Drosophila melanogaster: one gene and its partners. The protein of the gene in region 1 interacts with the protein of each later gene in a pairwise test. Each region holds a gene or a part of one and is shown in the gene's direction. Other genes may lie near its edges. The genes, in order: CG7763, TwdlE, Roc2 and CG6770.

Region 1 (4,044 bases):
AGAAATTTCGGCAAACGAATTCGATGGGAAAGCGAATGTGTGATGGGAATGGAAAGCAGGTGCGGACATTTACAAAAATACATATATGGTATTCGGCCACTGTTTAGAAGTCGTACGAGTCGGTCTCATCATCGCCCTTGCGTACCTTGAAGATTAATCTGTAGATGATTCCGGCCAACAGGCCGCCGGCAATGGGACCCACCCAGTAAACCCAGTGATAGGTCCAGACGCCCTGCACTACGGCGGGACCAAAGGACCGGGCGGGATTCATGCTGGCACCGCTCAGTTTGATCTGTAAATGGTACACTTATTAACCTCCAGTCGGAGAACTCCATCACCTCGTACTCACTGCACACAAATGGCCAGCGGCGATGGCCAAACCAACAGCCAGTGGCGCTGATCCCTTGATATCCTGGCGTCCAGGATCCGAAACAGCCTTGACCACGAAAACCAAAATAAAGGTGATCAGCGCTTCGATCAGCACCGCCTGTGCACAGTTCAGGGAGGGATCAAAGGAGGATACTCCCAGGTCGCCACCAGCCACTCCATCGAGTGCCACCTTTATCACAGCCGCTCCAGCAATGGCGCCCACGCATTGGACGATGATGTAGAAGGCAGCCTTCAGAATGCTGATCTCACCAACGATCAGGAATCCAAGGGTGACCGCCGGATTAATGTGACAGCCACTGAGGTGGCCCAAGCCCTGAGAGAGAGAACAAAATAAGAGGATATTCAAGAATATATTTATTATAAGGCTCAATAAAAGAGGAAAAAAAGTATGAAGATCAAATCAAGGAGGCTAAGGCCCAGTCGAACATAATGTAGATAATGGCCTATCTCCACCTCCATCGGCGCTTGCAAATGTCGAGTTGACAACGCAACATCTTAACCATAGCTGCGCTCAAAGTTTGCCCTTTGCCATGAAGCTGATTGTGCGATTTTCCGAATTTTCCATTGCACAATATCGTTGCATATCGAACTGCCAGCGGATACAAGCAATTTGTCAGACGTGAGATGCACTCGAGTGCATTTATTGTGTTTAGCGTGTCTGCAAAGTTCAGGTGGAGCTGGCTGGGAAGTAAAAGTGATTCGGGGTTCTGTTGAGTCATTGCCCGTGAAGAGATCACATGGAATCACTTAAATGGAAATCGCATTGGATCGGATCGCCTCGCATCGCATCGCATCGTATTGGATTGGATTGGATTGGATCAAGTGTTATGAATGGAGCCCGAAATGCACTGTTCACTCTGCGCCCAAGGTCGATGTGCAGGCTTCTATGTTTGATATCTCTTTCCAGCCGTGTTTCTCTACGTTTTGGTGATACGAATTCGATTTCGATATGGATTTCGCGGTTCGCAGTTCGCATTGGACGCACGGCCAATGTCGTGCGTCGCTGTGCGTTTAATTAATAAATGCGCAAAAAAGAAAAAAACAAAAAAAAATGCCCGTGTGTTGGCTGTTCGGCCACAAAACGCTAATTACAAATGCCGCCAAGAGCAAGTTCGAGTCGCGTTTTGCGGCCCAAACGGCAATAGGCCACAAATCCGAGCAGCCACTACAACTCGAACAACTTCTTGACATTTTGGTTATGCGCATGCGTGCAGCGCAATTTCGACTTCGTCTATACTAAGACTAAGTTGCCGCCTTTGCTGCCGCCACTCAGCCTGACCTAATCGTTTGGATCTAAAGCTTTTAGCCACAATAGTTTAGGCCTATTGTTCTCGACTCAATGCCTCCACTCGTCTTAGCTGCACACACTCGAAGAGTCGTGAAATTAATCAAATTTATTGTCGAGCCCGAAACCCATAATTAAATTTAATATATGCAACGAAAGCAATCGAGATCGACAGACCGGCTGCGTGTGAAAACCGCGAATGACGGACTGACTGAACTTAGACGTGAGTCATCGATGAAATATGGCTCTAATCGAGTTAGGCCTATGTGATTACGCTACGAGTTTATTACGCATTTCGAATGGGTTAATTACACTATGTGACTTTTTAGTTCTAAGCCGATCTAATTAAAAAATGTTAAATATATTTTTAATTTTTATGAATTATGAATTGCATTATGTTTTTCTGTGTATGCAGATAACTATACCCACATGCTGTGCAGAGCGATAAGTCGTACATAGTACCTATCTCTTATCATCATGCAGCGTCAGATTTTCTGTTTCTTTCTTTATTGGATTTCTTTCTAATATACTTGGTTTCGAAGCATTTAAGTCAGTCTGTTTTTGGCACTCGGATTTAAAAGATCTCAGAATCGCAGCAATGCAAAAATCTATTATATTTTTGGTACTCCCGTTGTGTCTGAGTTCAAGTTATTCAGCAGCCTGCGAGGTGAGTGAAGTAGAGAAGTGGTTTAGAAATGCTAAATATTTACATTCACATATCTTCTTAGGGCGTTGAAAGCGATTCCCAATGTGCTGCATATTGCTACGGTGTCTTGAATCCCTGCATCGCGAGCATGGGCAATTTGCAACGAAGGGTTGAAGCCTGTGAAGCAGCTGTTGCAATAGCGAGAATAGCCCTAAATGACCGAAGACTGGACAATTTTGGCACTTCAACGAACTTGCAGCTGGAAAATCAAAATACTTCGCAACAACTGCTGACACACGGTACAGCAATGGGCAGAAAACTGGAAGAAAACGAAATTTTCCAACAACTGGGAAGCAAATACTACTACATCGAAAAGGAAGAGAAGCTAAACTGGCACGATGCTTTGGATAAATGCCACAAAATGGGTGGCCATCTGGCCAGTCTGCAAAGTCAGGAGGAATTGGATAGATTCAATAACCAACTTAATGGCCTGAATCGCTACTGGATCGACGTGACCAATCAGTTCAACGAAAGTGAATTCGTTTCTGTGACCAAAGGATCGAAGGCCAATTTTTTGAGTTGGGCCGATGGGGAACCCACAAAAGATGGAGAGTGTGTGGATATCCGAACATTCAATGGGAAAACTACCATGAACGATAACTCATGTTTTGCCAATCTCTATTTTATTTGCGAAAAATCTATTGAAATATAATACAAAAATATTTATCTCTTTGAAGTTAATATTAGTTTTTGATATCTGACATTTACCACATGGTTTATGGAGGAAATAAGTATAATGTTTATTTCAAAACGAACAAGTTGGAATAAGACTTTATTTACGAATATACATATAATCCTATATGAATTGACCACTATTTCATTATTTTGTGTCAGCACTCTCCGTGCTCTCAAGGTTTTCCATTGGCTACAAAAAGTCTGGCAAGACTCTTCCCCCGATCGAGATATATAAGTTAAGAACCCTCTTCTTGCGCTCTTCGTCAGGACTCACCAGCGCTCGGCTCTCGTGTTTTCGGGCCCCGTCAGCAGGCGACTCGGGGCCTGTCTAGTAACATGTTCGTGTAAGTTACGAACCCTCTTCTTGCGATCTTCGTCAGGACTCACCAGCGCTCGGCTCTCGTGTTTTCGGGCCCCGTCAGCAGGCGACTCGGGGCCTGTCTAGGAACATGTTTGTGTATGTGTGCATTCGGAACAAGTGCCGTTGGTCGCACTCAGGGTGAGGGGTCAACGGGGGAAGCGGATATAAAAGCAGCGGGGCGGGAGAAGAGGCCCCAGTGTCGAACGGACACATAACGGAACCGCTAGCAGATCGCGAACTGAATCTTAAAATAAAGCTAATCGTAAACTCGAACCCTCTTAACTATCTTGACTATTATTTGGAGAACCACAGCATGTTGGTTGTCATATCGAGGTGAGGTATGCGGCAGCGAGTGCCGAGAACCCTGATGCAAGTGGAACTTGCGTTAACTGGCGCCCGAGCAGGGACCGGCAATGTCCGGCCGATAAAAGTGATACGAAAAAATTGTGGAAATTTGTGCGTAAAAATAGTGGTGGTGTGCATAAGTCAGATTAAGATCTGAAATCCATAAATGAAAAAGAAGTGCTGCGTGAGCTGTGTATAAAATGATAAAATAGCAATTACCCGCTGCCGGGGGGAACTACGCCCATCCCGGGGCGCAACAAATATTGCATAATTCAATAAAAG
Region 2 (5,933 bases), on another chromosome or scaffold:
TGACAGTCTCTGTCTCTGTGACTCTCCTCCAGTTGAGTCTCTCCAACTGTTGCAAGTTGCAGTTGCAATACTGCTGCTGGGTATCTTACTCGGTGCCTGGGTCTACGGTTTACGGTGTCGTCCTCCGTTTGGCGCCACTGGTCGTCACTGATTATGCCATTTCATAAAGCAAAATTCCGGCAGCGATTGTGCAGGAGTGGCCCCAAAATGCGGCCAAGGATCGCTTGCAACCGATGCAAAAATGCTGATTGCCATTTATAGATTATGTGCATAAATCAGGAAAAAAGCTAGCTATTACTTTGGGGGCTATGAGCCATGGAAAAGTTGCAAAACATTTTGCCAATCATAATTTTATCCATCACTCTTCTCTAACGCTAATTGTCATGGCCGGGGCGTAAATTATTAAATAAGAAAAGCAACCCAAAAACAACACTAAAACTTGCCAGAGATAAAAAAAAAAACAAATTGAAGAAATTCAAAATATTGCAAAAACAAAAAAACCAGAGGAGAAAAATTAAATAAAATGCCTGTACAGATGGGTCGACCCAACAAGAGCGTGAAGCTCATTATGAAGCTTCGTGTCCAAAACGCGGACAGCAATTACAAAAGCAACATAGCCAGTAAAACAATAACAATAACAGTAACAATAATAATAACAACAAGCCAGGCCAAGTCAACTCAAGCCAACACACAACACAACCCAAAACACCGAAAGAAGCTGGCTAACAAAAGGCCGAAAGAGCATGAAGAAATGAAATAAAACCAACACCAGATTCAGTCCCACTCCAGAGCACAAAACAAAGCTTAGCCCCATCCCATCTGATCCCAAACCATACCATACCATACTATACCAACCCATTCCCCAAAACGGCTGGCTAAATGAGAGTGAATCCACATTCATTGAAATTGAAAGTGAATCGTGCCACACGATCCGATCCAGAGTCCAGACTTGGTTACGAGTCCACTGCGATTGGATCCTCTAAATGACCAAAATAACAATTTACACACATTAGCTACATATATATAATAAAGCACATATATATATATATTTATATATAAATAACAGAAATCAGAGATTTTAGGAAAAACCATGTTTCTTTGGCAATCAGTTCGAAGGAGTTGTACTCTACAGCGAATCTATACAAATGTTTTAAATGGGCGAGGGAAAAAAATGCACAAGACATATTTATAAATTAAATATTACAAAATATGACTTGCCTTTAATAATTAAACTATCTAAGCTAAGAGAGGCATTTTCTTTTAATGATAAAAGAACAAAAGGCGTGATAAATTAATAATAAGAGAACAGATATTCTCAGATATTCTTAAATTAAGCAGGAAATCGTTAAAGCTGAGGTTACCGCAAAAAAGGCTTTTATTTTCTTGCCTTGAAAATAATGGACCCTTGAAATAAGCTACATTCCAGCAGCTAAGTGTCTTCAGAAATAAAAACCATAAAAAACTATTTGATGGCCTTGCTGCCTCAAGCTTTATTTTACATACATACACTGCACCTTTCAGGTTCCTTATTTTCCCCATGAAAATAATCCTAGTTGGGCAGAAAAACAGAAAAAAAAAAACAACCAACCACATGCTCGAAAAACCACGAAAAAGAAGTAGTTAATCGAAGGAGGAAAGCCAAAGCCAAGAAACGGTCAGCAGACGTTGCAGTTTCGGTTGGCTTTGCGGTCGCCGTTTGCATCGCAGCCAGGAGCTGCAGCCTCAGTTTCCCCACCAGATCATGACTGGCCAAACTTTGGACTTGGCTTAAACATTTCAATTTCTTCATGGCTACATGCTGCTGCCGCTCTTTGCCAACTGCTCAGCCAACTTGGCCGACTGCTCGGTCGACTGCGGCAGCAGCTGAGGCAGCTGAGGCGGCTAAAGCAGCAGCGGTCTTGATCGTCGTCTTGAATTTTACTTAATTTTTATTTCACGCGCTGCGCTGCTATAAAAGAAACTGCAACAATCGTTGTGGCATGCAGTAAGAGGTTCCGCGTCGAAGCAGCACCACATTGCCAGTAACCAGTAACCAGTAACAGCCAGTAGCACCTAGCCACCTGGAGCAGTGACAAAACCCGAAACGGATATACCCGAAATAAGCCACCCGAAAATGCATTCCAGTTGTGTGGTATGATCTTGTGACCAAACCGACCAAGTGGCCGTGATGGACATCGCTTAATGGTGTGTTCTCCTCCGATCTCGTTCGCAGTTAGTGGTCCTCATGGCCCTGGCTGCCCTGGTGGCCGCTCGTCCAGAGCCGCCTCGTGACTCGTACAGTGCGCCCCCCTCCAGCAGCTACCAGCCAAGTGGACCCAGCGGAGGCTACGGCGCCCCTGCGCCCCAGTACGGACCTCCCCAGCAGGCGCCGGTGATTCACAAGCACGTCTACGTCCATGTACCTCCACCAGAGCCGGAATACCAGGCACCCAGGTGAGTGGCAGGATCAAGGATCCTCTAAGCCAACATAAGTTCCAAAGATCGCGAGTAGAATAGGGTTCCCAATAAACCTATTCTTCAACCAAGTTCCGGAAAAGGATCTATGCATACTCGTTTAAAATTTTTGTCTATACTAGATGATAATTATATCAGACCTAAAAATGGAAAAAATCTTTAAAAATGTTATTTTAGACACATTCAGTTTAATCACAAAAGATACGTATTTAAGAGTTTAAGTAATAGTAAAATTATTTATTTTGCATAGTTTCACAAAATAGAAATCGCACTACACTCCCAACACAGTGAGTGAGTGAACAATCGAGAATTTCTTCTGATAAGCCGTACAATATAAACGTACATCCTGCGGTTTTTTTCATTTCACAACGTAATCAGTTCAAATTATTCACACCCCTTATCCAGCACACTTTTTTTTCGACTTGCGTGATTGTGAGCGGTTACAAACGATCTCGCTTTATTTGTCTTGTTCCACTTAAGATTGGAAAAATATGGGGAAAAAACACATTGTTGTGTTATGAGTATATAATCCAAGGCACTTATGCAGATTCTCTCACAATTCATCGGCGTAAACCAGGCAGTGCCGTCAACTCCCAAAGATAATAACTAGACAAATGTTGCAAGAGACCAGCCGGCAATCATCTAATCCAGCTCAGGGCCCTTTTCCACAGCTGTTGCCACATTTCCAGGGTATTTAGAGGGTCGCTTAAACGGAGGAGGAACATTATTTAATACCCGCGAAAACGAAAGCCATCCAACTTTCCTCTCTTTTCGCTGATACAATGTTTTCTGTCGTCTTCTGTCTGTTTTCAATTGGAGTTGGAAGCGATGTTAATTACCACGAGAGGGGAATGATATGGCTTTGCAGACCGCCAAACCGTGACTAAAACGTTACCTAAGCTCGCCGCAGCACTTGTACTCGTATATATCTCAGTACCATTTCCAAGCAAATTATCAGGCGCAGAGGGACAGGAACTCGATTACCATAGGTAGCTTTATGTAAACCCTCGTCTCGAGGCGGTTGTTGTGACAATCGCTGTCATCGTCACAATAGTCATCATCTTCATCTGATTAGTAAAACTGACAAGCAGCTGCAGTGGGTTCAACGTTGTCGGGAGGTCACCATTTTCGGGAGGTCACCATTTATGGGCATGCCATTTGCATGCACCTCAAAGAGAAACTCCTTTCTCCCGCATCGCGGTATTTGTTCGTTCAACAAGGCAAGGTTATAGGAAGTGTGGAAAGTCATTCCAGCCTGGCCGTGTGTAATTGAAATTTTTTTATTCAGTATGTAAATTTTTACAAGCCGGAAGCAAAAAAAGTTGCGTTATATGAGGATGTGGTGTCTTACTTTACCCATAGAATTCCTAAGAAATTCCTTAAATACAGATATAGCAGAACCTTTATTTAAATACATTTTTAAATATTTTCCCAGGAAACCCCTTTACGTGCCACCTCCGCAGAAGCACTACAAGATCGTCTTCATCAAGGCGCCATCTCCACCAGTACCGACCGCCCCTGTAATACCGCAGTTCCCACAGAACGAAGAGAAGACCCTGGTGTACGTGCTAGTCAAGAAGCCGGAGGAGCAGCCGGAGATCATTATCCCAACGCCAGCTCCCACCCAACCCAGCAAGCCGGAGGTGTACTTCATCCGCTACAAGACCCAGAAGGAGGAGACCGGACCCTATCCCAACAGTGTGGCGCCTCCAGCGCCCGAGTACGGAGCTCCAGCTGCCCCGCCCGCACCCTCTGCTCCCAGCAGCTCGTATGGGGCACCATCCCACTAGGCGATCCAGTCCAACCCGAATACCGATTTGCTTATCTCAACCCAACTCATGGCAAACTGCATATCTTATGTGTATTGTATTATTTTCTGTTTCAAGGACCTTAACGCGTGACAAAGTTTACCAAGCAACGAATCTCCCCCATCCCCTCTCCACACCCAGCTCATAGGATTATTACTCCTATAGATGAGTAATTCTTATCTCTGATGTTGTTTCTACCTGATGTACGAGAAGTATGTTTTCCATCTAGGCTGTTTGTTTCAAATTGTTTGTTTAGTCTTAAGTCTAGGTCTTTAAGCGAACGATGCGTTATACACTCACACAAAACACTCGAAACACTCACTGCGAGCTAGCCTTAGTTATCGATAGAGATATCGATCCTGATACCGATTAACGATATATACGTGGTACATGATTTTCATCACAAACGCATTTTCAAGTAGGCAATTTATTCCAATTTCATATTGCACATTTCGCACACGATTTGTCATTAAATAGAATGTGCGAAGCACTCGAAATGCAACAAAAAAAAATGAAGATTAAAATGATACTCAAGTATATAATGTTAAAAACACAAAACATCAATGGCTAAATAAAAGTTTAACGAATTATCTGTACAAGATGGATTTCTTTTTGTATGTTTCACATTGCAAGTCTTAACATATGTGTACATATATTTATATATATCTGTTTACTATACATTTTCATTTGCCTCGCAAATGTATTTGAAATCAGAAGTACAAGAAGCAACCCACATGCCACCGTTATGTATAGAAACGCAACGCTGATCTACATGTTCGTATAGTGGCTCTCCAGGATTCCATTTCAAAAAAGGTGCTCTCTTTCCGGAGGACACAGATATGAAAACGCCCTTTTCAGCCAGATCACTAATGCCAATCATATAAGTGTTGTCTTTGCTTAGTTGCGAAACGATAGCATTAAAGTCTGCTTCATTTATAATTGAGGCTAGATTACCTCCCATCTTTTGACATGCGCTCAAAGCACTGGTCCAATTTTGTTGGACTATGTCTTCGATGTGCAAATATCTCGATCCGATTCGCTTGAACCTATGTAAAATATTTATTTTCGCAGACATATTCTTCAGCGACGTCGTTATACTAGTCAATGCTTCCTGTAGGTCAGATAGTTGACCCTCCATCTTAAGTTCTGACCTATTGGTTCTGTTCTCGATATCCTCTGCAATGATCTTCTTCCACGATTCCGTTAGCGATGTCTTCTGGCTTTCAATTTCTTTTTCAATATCCCTCTGTTGGGCCTGTATTTCTTGCAACTTGCAGGTTTTCCACTGTTCCTGGTGCTGGGCAATGTGACCGATCAATGGCATCAGCGCTTCGAGGCTTCGACACGATCTGTCTCCTCGCATCCTGAAGGTGATGCATTTATAACTATTGCGATAATTGCGTAATATAGGAGAACTTTCAGCTGGAACATGCTTAGCAAATTGAACCTCTTTAGACGAACGTTTATAATGCACTAAATGTGAATTCCTATGCTGCAGTCTGAACAGCAGCGCAATATTGTTGATAAGAATTTATAGATATAATATATATTTTACTGGAAAAATAAATATCATGCTAAGTATTTTCAGCTTACGCTAAAAATAAAAAATAATATAAGCTATAGTGATAATTATGACAACAGCGCAATATGAACAGCAGCGCAATATTGTTG
Region 3 (5,498 bases), 260 kb from region 1:
GCACTTTTTCAACCATTCAGCCGCCAATGTGCGTCATTCAAATCGAACGTGCACGGCGTTAAAGCCAAGTTAATATGGTCTAAAGGGAGGGGCAAGGGGGCGCAAGTGCTTTTCGCCAGTTAATTGCATTTACTTCTCGAGGCTTTGTGGCATCGGGGGCATGAAGTGATCTTGTTCGAAATCCCTAAAACATTTGCACTCATACTTGGAAAATGGGTGTTGCAATTGAGCATTTATTGGCATTTTTAAACATTAAATAAACACACTTTTGTGATGGAATTTGGTTTTTAAATATACCAGATAGTTACTTTTGAAATGAATTATGACATTCAAATCTTGAATATATGTACAACCTGTTAAAATATGCTTTCTGAAATTTATATGTACATGTTCGAAACTTTGCTATAGTTTCACATGCAAAATTTTAAACACTTTTGTATATACTCGAAACTGCTCTAAATGAAAATTTACTGGTAAGCTGTGGAAATTTATCGATCTAGCTTATAAGGAAAACAAAACTGCCTTTAAGAGTTTGATTTTATTTTTTAGCGACTAGAGTTCCACTTTATACGATTATAGATACACCCACAAAGTGTCACATTTACCATCGATATCTCTGAGATACAACACCCCCATATGTACATACACATGTACATATATCTATAATTTTCGCTTAAAAATCATAAACAATTTAACCGAATAGACCCGGTAAATCAAAGTGTCCAATGCCTTTGTCAATAAACATTTGTCGTTCCACTAATTGCCAGCGACCAACTTACAAACAAACAAACAAACAGAAAAGCATGAAAAAACAAGAAAGAAATAGCAGAAAAAAAACCAAAAATCATTTATGGCAAAGTCAATTGCGCTAGTGCTATCTCTTTCGCGCGATGTGGGTGGAAGCATTACGTTGATTATCCAGCAAAGCCAACAACAAAAGCAACAACAACACACTCACACACGCACACAGAAAACAACGAAATTTAATTAAATTAAACTTGCTGTTGGCCTGTTTCTCCTTCAGCTGCTACTTCTTTATTCCGGTTAAAAAAAAGGGCGTTCAACTCAAGGGTTTTATTTTGCAATTATTGATATTTATCCGTATCGCTTTTGACACTCATTTGTGTTTAAGTCTACGAAATGACCTTTATCTGTTTAAATTTTCATTATTTGTTACTTCCACATTTGTTTGCGGTTGTATTAAATTGCACATTTTCATTAGCCACAGGTGATATTTGCTCTTAATTGGCATTTAACACGTCGTCATTTTGTAAGGCTTATGTAGATTTTACATTTGCTATTTGAAAATTTATTGCTTACTGTGAAAAACAACTAATTTCTCCACATTTATTTACTAAAATACCACTCCCTTAATCGGCTTATCGCACATTTGGCATCGGATCGCATTGATACGGGATGTTTATCTTTGATTGTCGGATGCGCCATTTGTGCTGATAGTGATAATGGGTCATTTGCCATTATCTTTTTCAATTTCAGTTTACGATGGGCGAATAATAAGGCTGAACTGTTAGATTCCGGCTGAGCGGCATGGAAATTACTTAATTACTTATGCGGGGCGCGTTCTGGTTGGCAACGGAATCGGAATCAGGTTGCTGTATATTCACGGTCAGCTTTTGTCGTTCGAAGGTTTTCATTTTAAAGTAATCACCGGAAACCGCAAATAATTTATATTGTCAAATTTGTGTTAGTGCATTGGAAACCAACCGTTTATTTCCCAACGCAAGCTGAAACTTGAGAAGCGCGGCCGAAAAACGCTGCCGCAAACGTTCCGCACTCGTCGAAGGCTGAAAATGAATTGAACCGAAGTTGAAGTAAGCGAAAACCAAATCACAAAACAAATTAACCGCCTTATCGATATTTAATTATCGGTCGTCGATAGGTGTGTCCGTGCATATAAGGTGAATGTATCCCCTAAATGGCTGTGGCAACACTGAAAATAGTTTTCCCTTGTTTTGGTGTGGCCACACTGACTTTTGGCTTGCTATTGTTTACATTCAATTATTTCGACTTCTTATTTGTTGGTAAGTCAAACCGGCGGTTCCTTATCATTTGCCCGAAACTAAGCAAGAAGTAGGAGTGAGGTTAACAACTTAACGAACACTGTGATAACCTTTCCTTCGTATACAACTGAGAATGGCATTTCTTTGTTCTCGGAGGAAGAAGTAACTTTTTGGCAAGTTGAGCAAAACATTAAAATTCGTATCAGCCACTTGCTACGAAAGTAAATTACATTTTTACCAGGGATAAGTGAGAGGCTTTATAGTCTATCCCCCTATTCCGCAGCTACCAATATTCATAAAACAAAAAACAATCAAGAAGAATGCGCTTAGTCGAATGGCTCAACTATCAGATACCCGTTACTCTGTTCCCTAATACTAATATACCGTTTGTTCGTAGAATTATCGCCACCAGTTGGAAGGAAGCAACACCTGTTGATCATTTTTGAACTTTTCTACTTGTAGCTCTCCTACGCCTATTAAGCATATTTTTCGAGTAATATTCCTAATATTTGTATAATTACCTTATTTAAAATCCTAAACCTGAGTTACGTACTGATGTCCGGACCTGGTTAGACCACTTTGCCATTTGCTAATAATCAATAACTAAGATAGGTCCGGTTTAGAGTTTCTAATACCCTATAAATTAACAGTTAGAAAAATATTTAAAAACGGGGTCGAATAAAACTTAAAATTGTTTACCAAATAAAAATAAAAACATAAAACATTAAAGGGAAATTAAAAATAAAAGAACCTTAAAAAATTAATATATTGTATTGTAAAATTAAAAAACATTTTTAAACCGCTATTTGTAATACTAATTAAAATCTCCCATACAGGAGGATATACACAAGAAACAAAAAAAAAATATTAAAAAACCGAATCTCATTAGCCCAGTGGATTGGTCAGTTTCCCAGACTTTTTTGACATGGCTGATGATCCAGAAAACTCAGTGGATAGGCCCACAGACGACGGAGATGCCGGCAAACCGGAAAAAATGTTTACGCTGAAGAAATGGAACGCAGTTGCAATGTGGAGTTGGGATGTGGAATGCGATATCTGTGCCATTTGCCGTGTTCAAGTTATGGGTGAGCAATACCACTGATTTCAAAACTCTAATCTTGAGTATTAATAATAATAAAAGGTCCTACATATGTAACAATATGTAACTAGAATATTATTATACTGGTGTCTTTGTTAACACTATCTTGTGCATATCGCAAGCGAAAATGTTTTTTACTCACATATACATAAGTGCCTAAAAACTTTCAATTGGTGTATTTTTCAACGGTAATTTTGATTTATTGCGCTTGCCTAAAAATTCACAATTTAAGCACGAAGACACCACCCTACTATTTGGTTTGAACGCATCTCAGATCCTTAGCAACACGCCATTTACATGTTGAAAGGAAATGGCTTGATGTTGACCACCGAGGACATGGGCACACGGCCCATCATCTTTCGCTCAATTTCCTCCAACGACTTGCCCCGCGTTTCGGGCACAAAAATAATCACAAAGAACAGACCCACGATGCAGATGGCGCCGAATAGCCAGAAGGCTCCATGCGCGCCCATAGCAACTACACACAAAAATATTAAATATTATTACACCACTTATTTTAGTTAGTTGCACTACGCACCCGTGAGGTCCTGGAAGGTCTTGGTTACCACAAACGTGCAGAACCAGTTGAAAGCCGTGACCACCGATGCAGCCGGTCCTCGAATCTTGGCTGGCAGAATCTCACCCATCATCAGCCAGGGAATGGGTCCGAAGCCCAGGGAGAATCCCAGAATGTAGATAACGAAGCAAGTGAGTGGCAACCAACCCAAATGGGACACATCCGGACCATGCGCCTTGCAGTAGAAGAAGCCGCCCAGAATGGACAGGGTCACGATCATGGCGATGTCGGATACATACAGAAGAATCTAAAAATTACGATTAGTAAACAATGATTTTCATTTATATGCATCTTTAAACCCACCTTTCTGCCCAACCGATCAATCAGAATGATGCCCATAAACGTAGCAAAAAAGTTAACTACACCCACGATGATCGTGGAAAGATTGCTATCAATTGTGGATCCCGCATCCTTGAAGATCTGGACCGTGTAGAAAATAACCGCGTTGATACCGCTGAACTGTTGAAAGAACATCAGACCCAAGGAAATGGAAAGTGGCTTCAGATTGTTTCGCTTAAACAGCTCCAAACAGGTGTTCTGAGTGGCCTGACGATCGGCATCGGCCTGAGATTGCATCAACTCCTTTAGTTCGGGCTCCACATCCGCCTCCTTGCCACGCAGCCATTTCAAAGCCTTCCTGGCGCGCTCTTCCTGACCACGGTTCACAAACCAGCGCGGAGTTTCGGGGATAATGATCATCAAAATCAGGAAGGGAACGGGCAGAGCAGCTCCCAAGAAGGCCAGCATCGACCAATTCATAAAGGATCCCGCCACATAGCAAACCAGGATGCCTATGTTACCAAGAGCGGTGGGCAGCAAACCCAAAGTGCCCCGCACTTCCGGCTGCAAAGTCTCACCCAGGTAGACGGGCAGGGATAAAGAGGCAATGCCAACGCAGAATCCAGTTAGGAATCGTCCGCACAGAATCATGATCACATTCACAGCACACGCAATCAGCAGTGATGATACGATGAAGGGCACCGCAGTGGCCAGGATGGTGCTGCGCCTGCCCAGATATTCGATCAAGGGTCCTCCTGTTATGCCACCTGCTAATGCAGCCAGTGGCATGATGCCACCAACCCAGGAACCCTGCAATAGTATAGATTTCAAGTGATTGGATAGGGGTTTAGCTTCGTTTGGGAATAGAAATCCGATTTTCGCTGGAAAAGTGTGCCTTTGAAACGCTCTGTTGAAATTATCTGAATTATTCAACATATCACTGGGACTTATTAGCTTCGAATTAGCTTATCTGCGAACAAAGAGTTAACAAAACTTACAGCATCTTTTGTGACCTCAAAGGAGGTGATGGTCCGATCGGTCATCGACACAAGTGCAGGCGACGTGTAAGCGCTGACAAATCCGACCACCAAGGAGCACAGCGAGACACTCAGAGCAGCCAAAACCTGGAAATAGGAAGGAAAACGATTTTAATTTGTAAGGCTCGCAGTTCTCCAAAGTATTTTTCACTAATGTAAAGGAGGCACCTGGGAAAAGGTAAAATTGGCCTTGAGCCCATCGGCGGGCACGGAGAAGGACACATGGGTGTCCGCTCGCATCAGGATCTTCATTGCGGCACTGTATCTTTAAACTGAATCACGAACTGAAATCGTTTTTTGCTGGCAACGAGGCGGTGAATGTAGCTAATACAGCTTTAGCTCGTCAAAACTCAACTGAATATTGTTGTTATTCCCTGTCACTAATTTTTAATATTCGAGAATGGTTTTTTGACGTGATTTGTAAGGAATCGTCACATTGTGCATAATCCTTAGGCGAGACGTAATAGTGCTCGTCGGCTATGGGG
Region 4 (3,733 bases), on another chromosome or scaffold:
CTGCCGTAACTTATATTCGCCTTTTCCTTAAAGCTTAAGAACCCGCGAGCTGTAAAGTCCAGCAGCAAAGTGAACTACTGCATTGGCTGCGACTTCAAGTGCTATCAGGTACAGAAAATGATCGAGCACATGGGCAGCTGTGAGCCCTCCCATTTGATTTGCTCGCTGTGCGAAGTCGGCTTTCTGGACTGGCGGGAATACGACACTCACCTACGACGGCACTCTGGTGATCTGCGTAAGCCCTTCTTTTGCTTACAGTGCGGCATCCGCTTCAACACACGAGCTGCCCTGCTCGTCCATCAGCCTAAGCATTCCACGGAAACGCCGCACATATGTCCACATTGCGGCAAGGGCTTCAAGTGGAAGCAGGGCCTGAGCAATCACATCCTGGTCCACAATCCCGAGAAGCAAATGCTCTGCGACGTCTGCGGCTATAGCACCACGCACATGAAGGCCCTCAAGTCGCACAAACTGCTTCACACCGGAGAATTCTTTGCGTGCACAGTTTCAGGCTGCAAGCATCGAGCCAATCGCAAGGAGAACCTCAAATTGCACATTGAAACTCACAAACAGGGTCGCGATTTTATCTGCGAGGTCTGTGGCTGCAAGTTCAGCCAGAGCAAAAACCTCAAGCGTCACGCCCTCAAGCACACGGAGAATGGTCCGAACCGCTACAAGTGCCAGCTGTGTGGATTCAGCAGTCATCGCTCCGACAAAATGAAGGAGCACGTGCAGCGGGTTCACACAGAGAAACCGGTGCAGTTGGAGCTCTCGGAAACGGTGGACAGTAGCTTTCCCGATGACTTTGAGCTTCCCGTGATCGAAACGTCACCCAAGAAGAAGCCAAAGAGTGTTAAGAGCAAGACTATAAGGAATGTTAATCCTGACAAGCGACTGAAAACACTACTGCCCAAGGAGACTGTAGAATAGGAATAAAACGGAAGGTTACCCCATTCATAACTTCTCAGAGAAAGAGATTTGTGAGGCAAAGGTCAATAGTAAATATTTAGAATAACTATGTTGAAAAGAGACTGTATCAGCAAGTTTAGAACATTTGCTATATTTACAAAATGAGACGTGGGATCTCTCGTTCTGAGTTCTAGTACAACAAAATTGTATCTAGAATATTCACGGAAACCCAGTTTCTTTTTAAAGCCATTAAAAAAGAACCATCGAGAAATCTAAAGATTGATTTGCTACCAACGAATTGTAAATAAAGTGGTATATTGTGGCAGGTTCTTGAAACAACATTGTTGAGGCCGTTCTATCTTATCTAAGATGGTGACTACGATCTATTGCGTCGTTTGAAGACGAACTTTCAGAACGAATACCTGCCAAATGACTAACTAGAGCGATAGTTAGCACCTTATCAACGCCAGAAGGCTATGTATATATGTATGTACGTAACATTTGTTTATATAAAATCCATTAAACCAAAACAAACTGAAAGCTTTTCGCTATTCAGAAATAAACAAATGCGTTGCCTGGTGGGAGGGAAGTGGGTCAACCGATCAGGTTCTAATGCACCAAAATAAATATCCATTATGAGTATATCTTTTGTAAATCAAAAATGTTATTCGAATTATAATTATTGCTAAATTGTTTCTTGTGCCCTAACATTCAAATATTGTTGAGTGTAAAAAAATAAACAAATTTTGAGCAGTGTATCCAGAACATATGATGCATTTAATTCTATATTTATTGGGTGGAGAAACAAATGCAGGGTAAATGCACTTTGATGGTCGTTTGCGGAGGGCCAAGGTGGGTGTGTGTTATGTAACCACTCAGGAACGTGTGTATGCTTAAAAGTTCTTAAATTATTAAAATAAATGAACAAGGCGAAATAATATGTTTGGCGATTTCAGTTTTTTTGTTTACCGCGCACTTTGTAAACAGCAAAAAATTAAATTGCGCAGCAAAAATTGTCAAGGAGGCACTCTCTTGAGCGCAAAAGGGTTGTCAGGCCCAATAACTATGAATTTTAATAACTAAAAATTCTTTTACATAAAAAAGAGCAAATATATTTTGTAAAAGTTCAGTAGAAAGTTATAGAAAAATTAAATATTTTTAGTAACTACACGTAAGCAACAATTAAATGCCCTTCTAGTAGTTTCTTTAGCTAAATCCGGCAACTCTGACGGAGAGAGAGCTTTGGTTACGGAACAGAAAGCTTGCGCGCCTATAAAAGCCGCTGCTCGACCGAAAAAATTCAATTCCGTTCGCAGCTCAGCGAAAAGTGAACAAAAAAAAGCAGAAGAGAAATTTGGAAAGCAGCCTGCAAGTTTGCAGAGAAACAAAAAGCAGACACCAACCAAGAACGCAGTTAGTTTTGCAACCTTAAATCGCCATTATGTCCGAGGCCCACTTCGATGAGTACGAGCACTACAACTTCGACCATGACAAGCACATCTTCTCTGGACACAGCGGCAAGCAGCGCAACAAGAGGGAGGCCAATGAGCACACCAACCACTTCGATCCCTCCGGTCATTCCCGCAAGATTCTGACCAAGCTGATGAACACCAACAACAACAACAAGAAAGCCGCCGCCTGCAAGAACTGATGCAGGGCATCGACGGAGGCGGTGGAACAGGAGAGAAAGAAGTAACGGGGCCGCGCTGAAAGGAGAAAAGAAATCTTCGAATTTAAAAGGAAAGCAAAAGCAAAGGAGAGAAGAAAAAGAAGAACAAGCAGCAGTTTTGCTGGAAGGAAAGAAAGAAAAACAAAAGCCAGCTGGAAATACACATTGCATTTGTATTGTGCATTGGCTTTTCATGCGGCGCTAAACTTTGTGAACATTATAATAATTTTATTTCGCTTATAATTTCACAAACACAAAAAAAGAAAGGCACATACTACTCTTAGCTTCTAATATATTCCTAAACTAATTCAGACTTGCAAGTTTTAGTTGCTAAGCCTTAGAGCGTTTCAAATAATGAAGTTTGACTTAGGTAATACATATAAAATAAAGAGAAAACCAAAACTGAATAGCCTGGTCGTCTTATTTTCATTTGCATTTGCAGCGCACCTTTCCAAGCGAGAGAGCTTTTTGAATGCCGTTGGTGTGCTGTTGTGCATATTTATAGCCTTTTAGTTGAACTCATTTGCACTCAGCTCCTCGATTATCGCAAAAGCAGTTGCAGTCGACTTTTTTCTTTGTTTACAGCGATCGACCAAAAAGAGAACATGTATGAACATATTTATTTGTGTATGTAATGTATGTATGTTAGTTTGCAAACGGAAATATTCCCGAGACCTTCCATTGAAAGTTCACCAGTTACACAGGTAATTAAACTTGCACACACATATTCCTGCATCATTTCTTCCGGTTTAAATTTGCGTGTAAGGTTGCATTTATGAATATTGCGCCGCTTTTATTGACTTTCAATACTAAACGATATTTTTACATTAGGTGTCCAAAATTACAAAAGCTATGTTATTTTCCACTCACAAACAAACAAGCACACGTACAAAAATAAACCGAACAAACTTTTCCAGAAAGGTCCACTCTAATGGAATTCTCTCCTCTCTCTCGCTCTCTCTCTCTCTATAAACGCCATTTGCCGGCTTTTTGAATTGCGTTGTTGATATTTGGTAAACAATAAAACAGACTCTCGATCAGGTGGTTTTGCTATAATGCATATTAATGAAATTGTTCGAACATATTGACAATTAAAATTCCAAGACTCTTATGTATGTTTAAATTCGCATTTTGGTTAGTCATAAATATTCCTTA

Evidence for each region.
Region 2: the proteins of CG7763 (region 1) and TwdlE interact in a two-hybrid assay, tested with the Drosophila melanogaster proteins (one large-scale study listed by BioGRID).
Region 3: the proteins of CG7763 (region 1) and Roc2 interact in a two-hybrid assay, tested with the Drosophila melanogaster proteins (one large-scale study listed by BioGRID).
Region 4: the proteins of CG7763 (region 1) and CG6770 interact in a two-hybrid assay, tested with the Drosophila melanogaster proteins (one large-scale study listed by BioGRID).

The regions. Positions count from the first base shown.
Region 1 is NT_033778.4:11,412,283-11,416,326, forward strand, and holds CG7763 (uncharacterized protein), read left to right. Parts: upstream 1-2,227; 5' UTR 2,228-2,273; coding exon 2,274-2,342; intron 2,343-2,403; coding exon 2,404-3,033; 3' UTR 3,034-3,180; downstream 3,181-4,044. Other genes in the region: drip, read right to left, coding at 146-292, 350-703.
Region 2 is NT_033779.5:7,856,881-7,862,813, reverse strand, and holds TwdlE (TweedleE), read left to right. Parts: upstream 1-1,974; 5' UTR 1,975-2,113; coding exon 2,114-2,131; intron 2,132-2,212; coding exon 2,213-2,433; intron 2,434-2,693; exon of another isoform or gene 2,694-3,889; coding exon 3,890-4,244; 3' UTR 4,245-4,857; downstream 4,858-5,933.
Region 3 is NT_033778.4:11,675,814-11,681,311, reverse strand, and holds the start of Roc2 (regulator of cullins 2), read left to right. Parts: upstream 1-1,957; 5' UTR 1,958-2,042; intron 2,043-2,418; 5' UTR 2,419-2,514; intron 2,515-2,857; 5' UTR 2,858-2,946; coding exon 2,947-3,106; intron 3,107-3,297; exon of another isoform or gene 3,298-3,413; coding exon of another isoform or gene 3,414-3,598; intron 3,599-3,658; coding exon of another isoform or gene 3,659-3,944; intron 3,945-4,000; coding exon of another isoform or gene 4,001-4,786; intron 4,787-4,974; coding exon of another isoform or gene 4,975-5,100; intron 5,101-5,181; coding exon of another isoform or gene 5,182-5,265; exon of another isoform or gene 5,266-5,377; intron 5,378-5,498. Other genes in the region: Tret1-2 (trehalose transporter 1-2), read right to left, coding at 3,414-3,598, 3,659-3,944, 4,001-4,786, 4,975-5,100, 5,182-5,265.
Region 4 is NT_033779.5:12,044,593-12,048,325, reverse strand, and holds CG6770 (uncharacterized protein), read left to right. Parts: upstream 1-2,207; 5' UTR 2,208-2,350; coding exon 2,351-2,560; 3' UTR 2,561-2,983; downstream 2,984-3,733. Other genes in the region: Plzf (promyelocytic leukemia zinc finger), read left to right, coding at 34-930.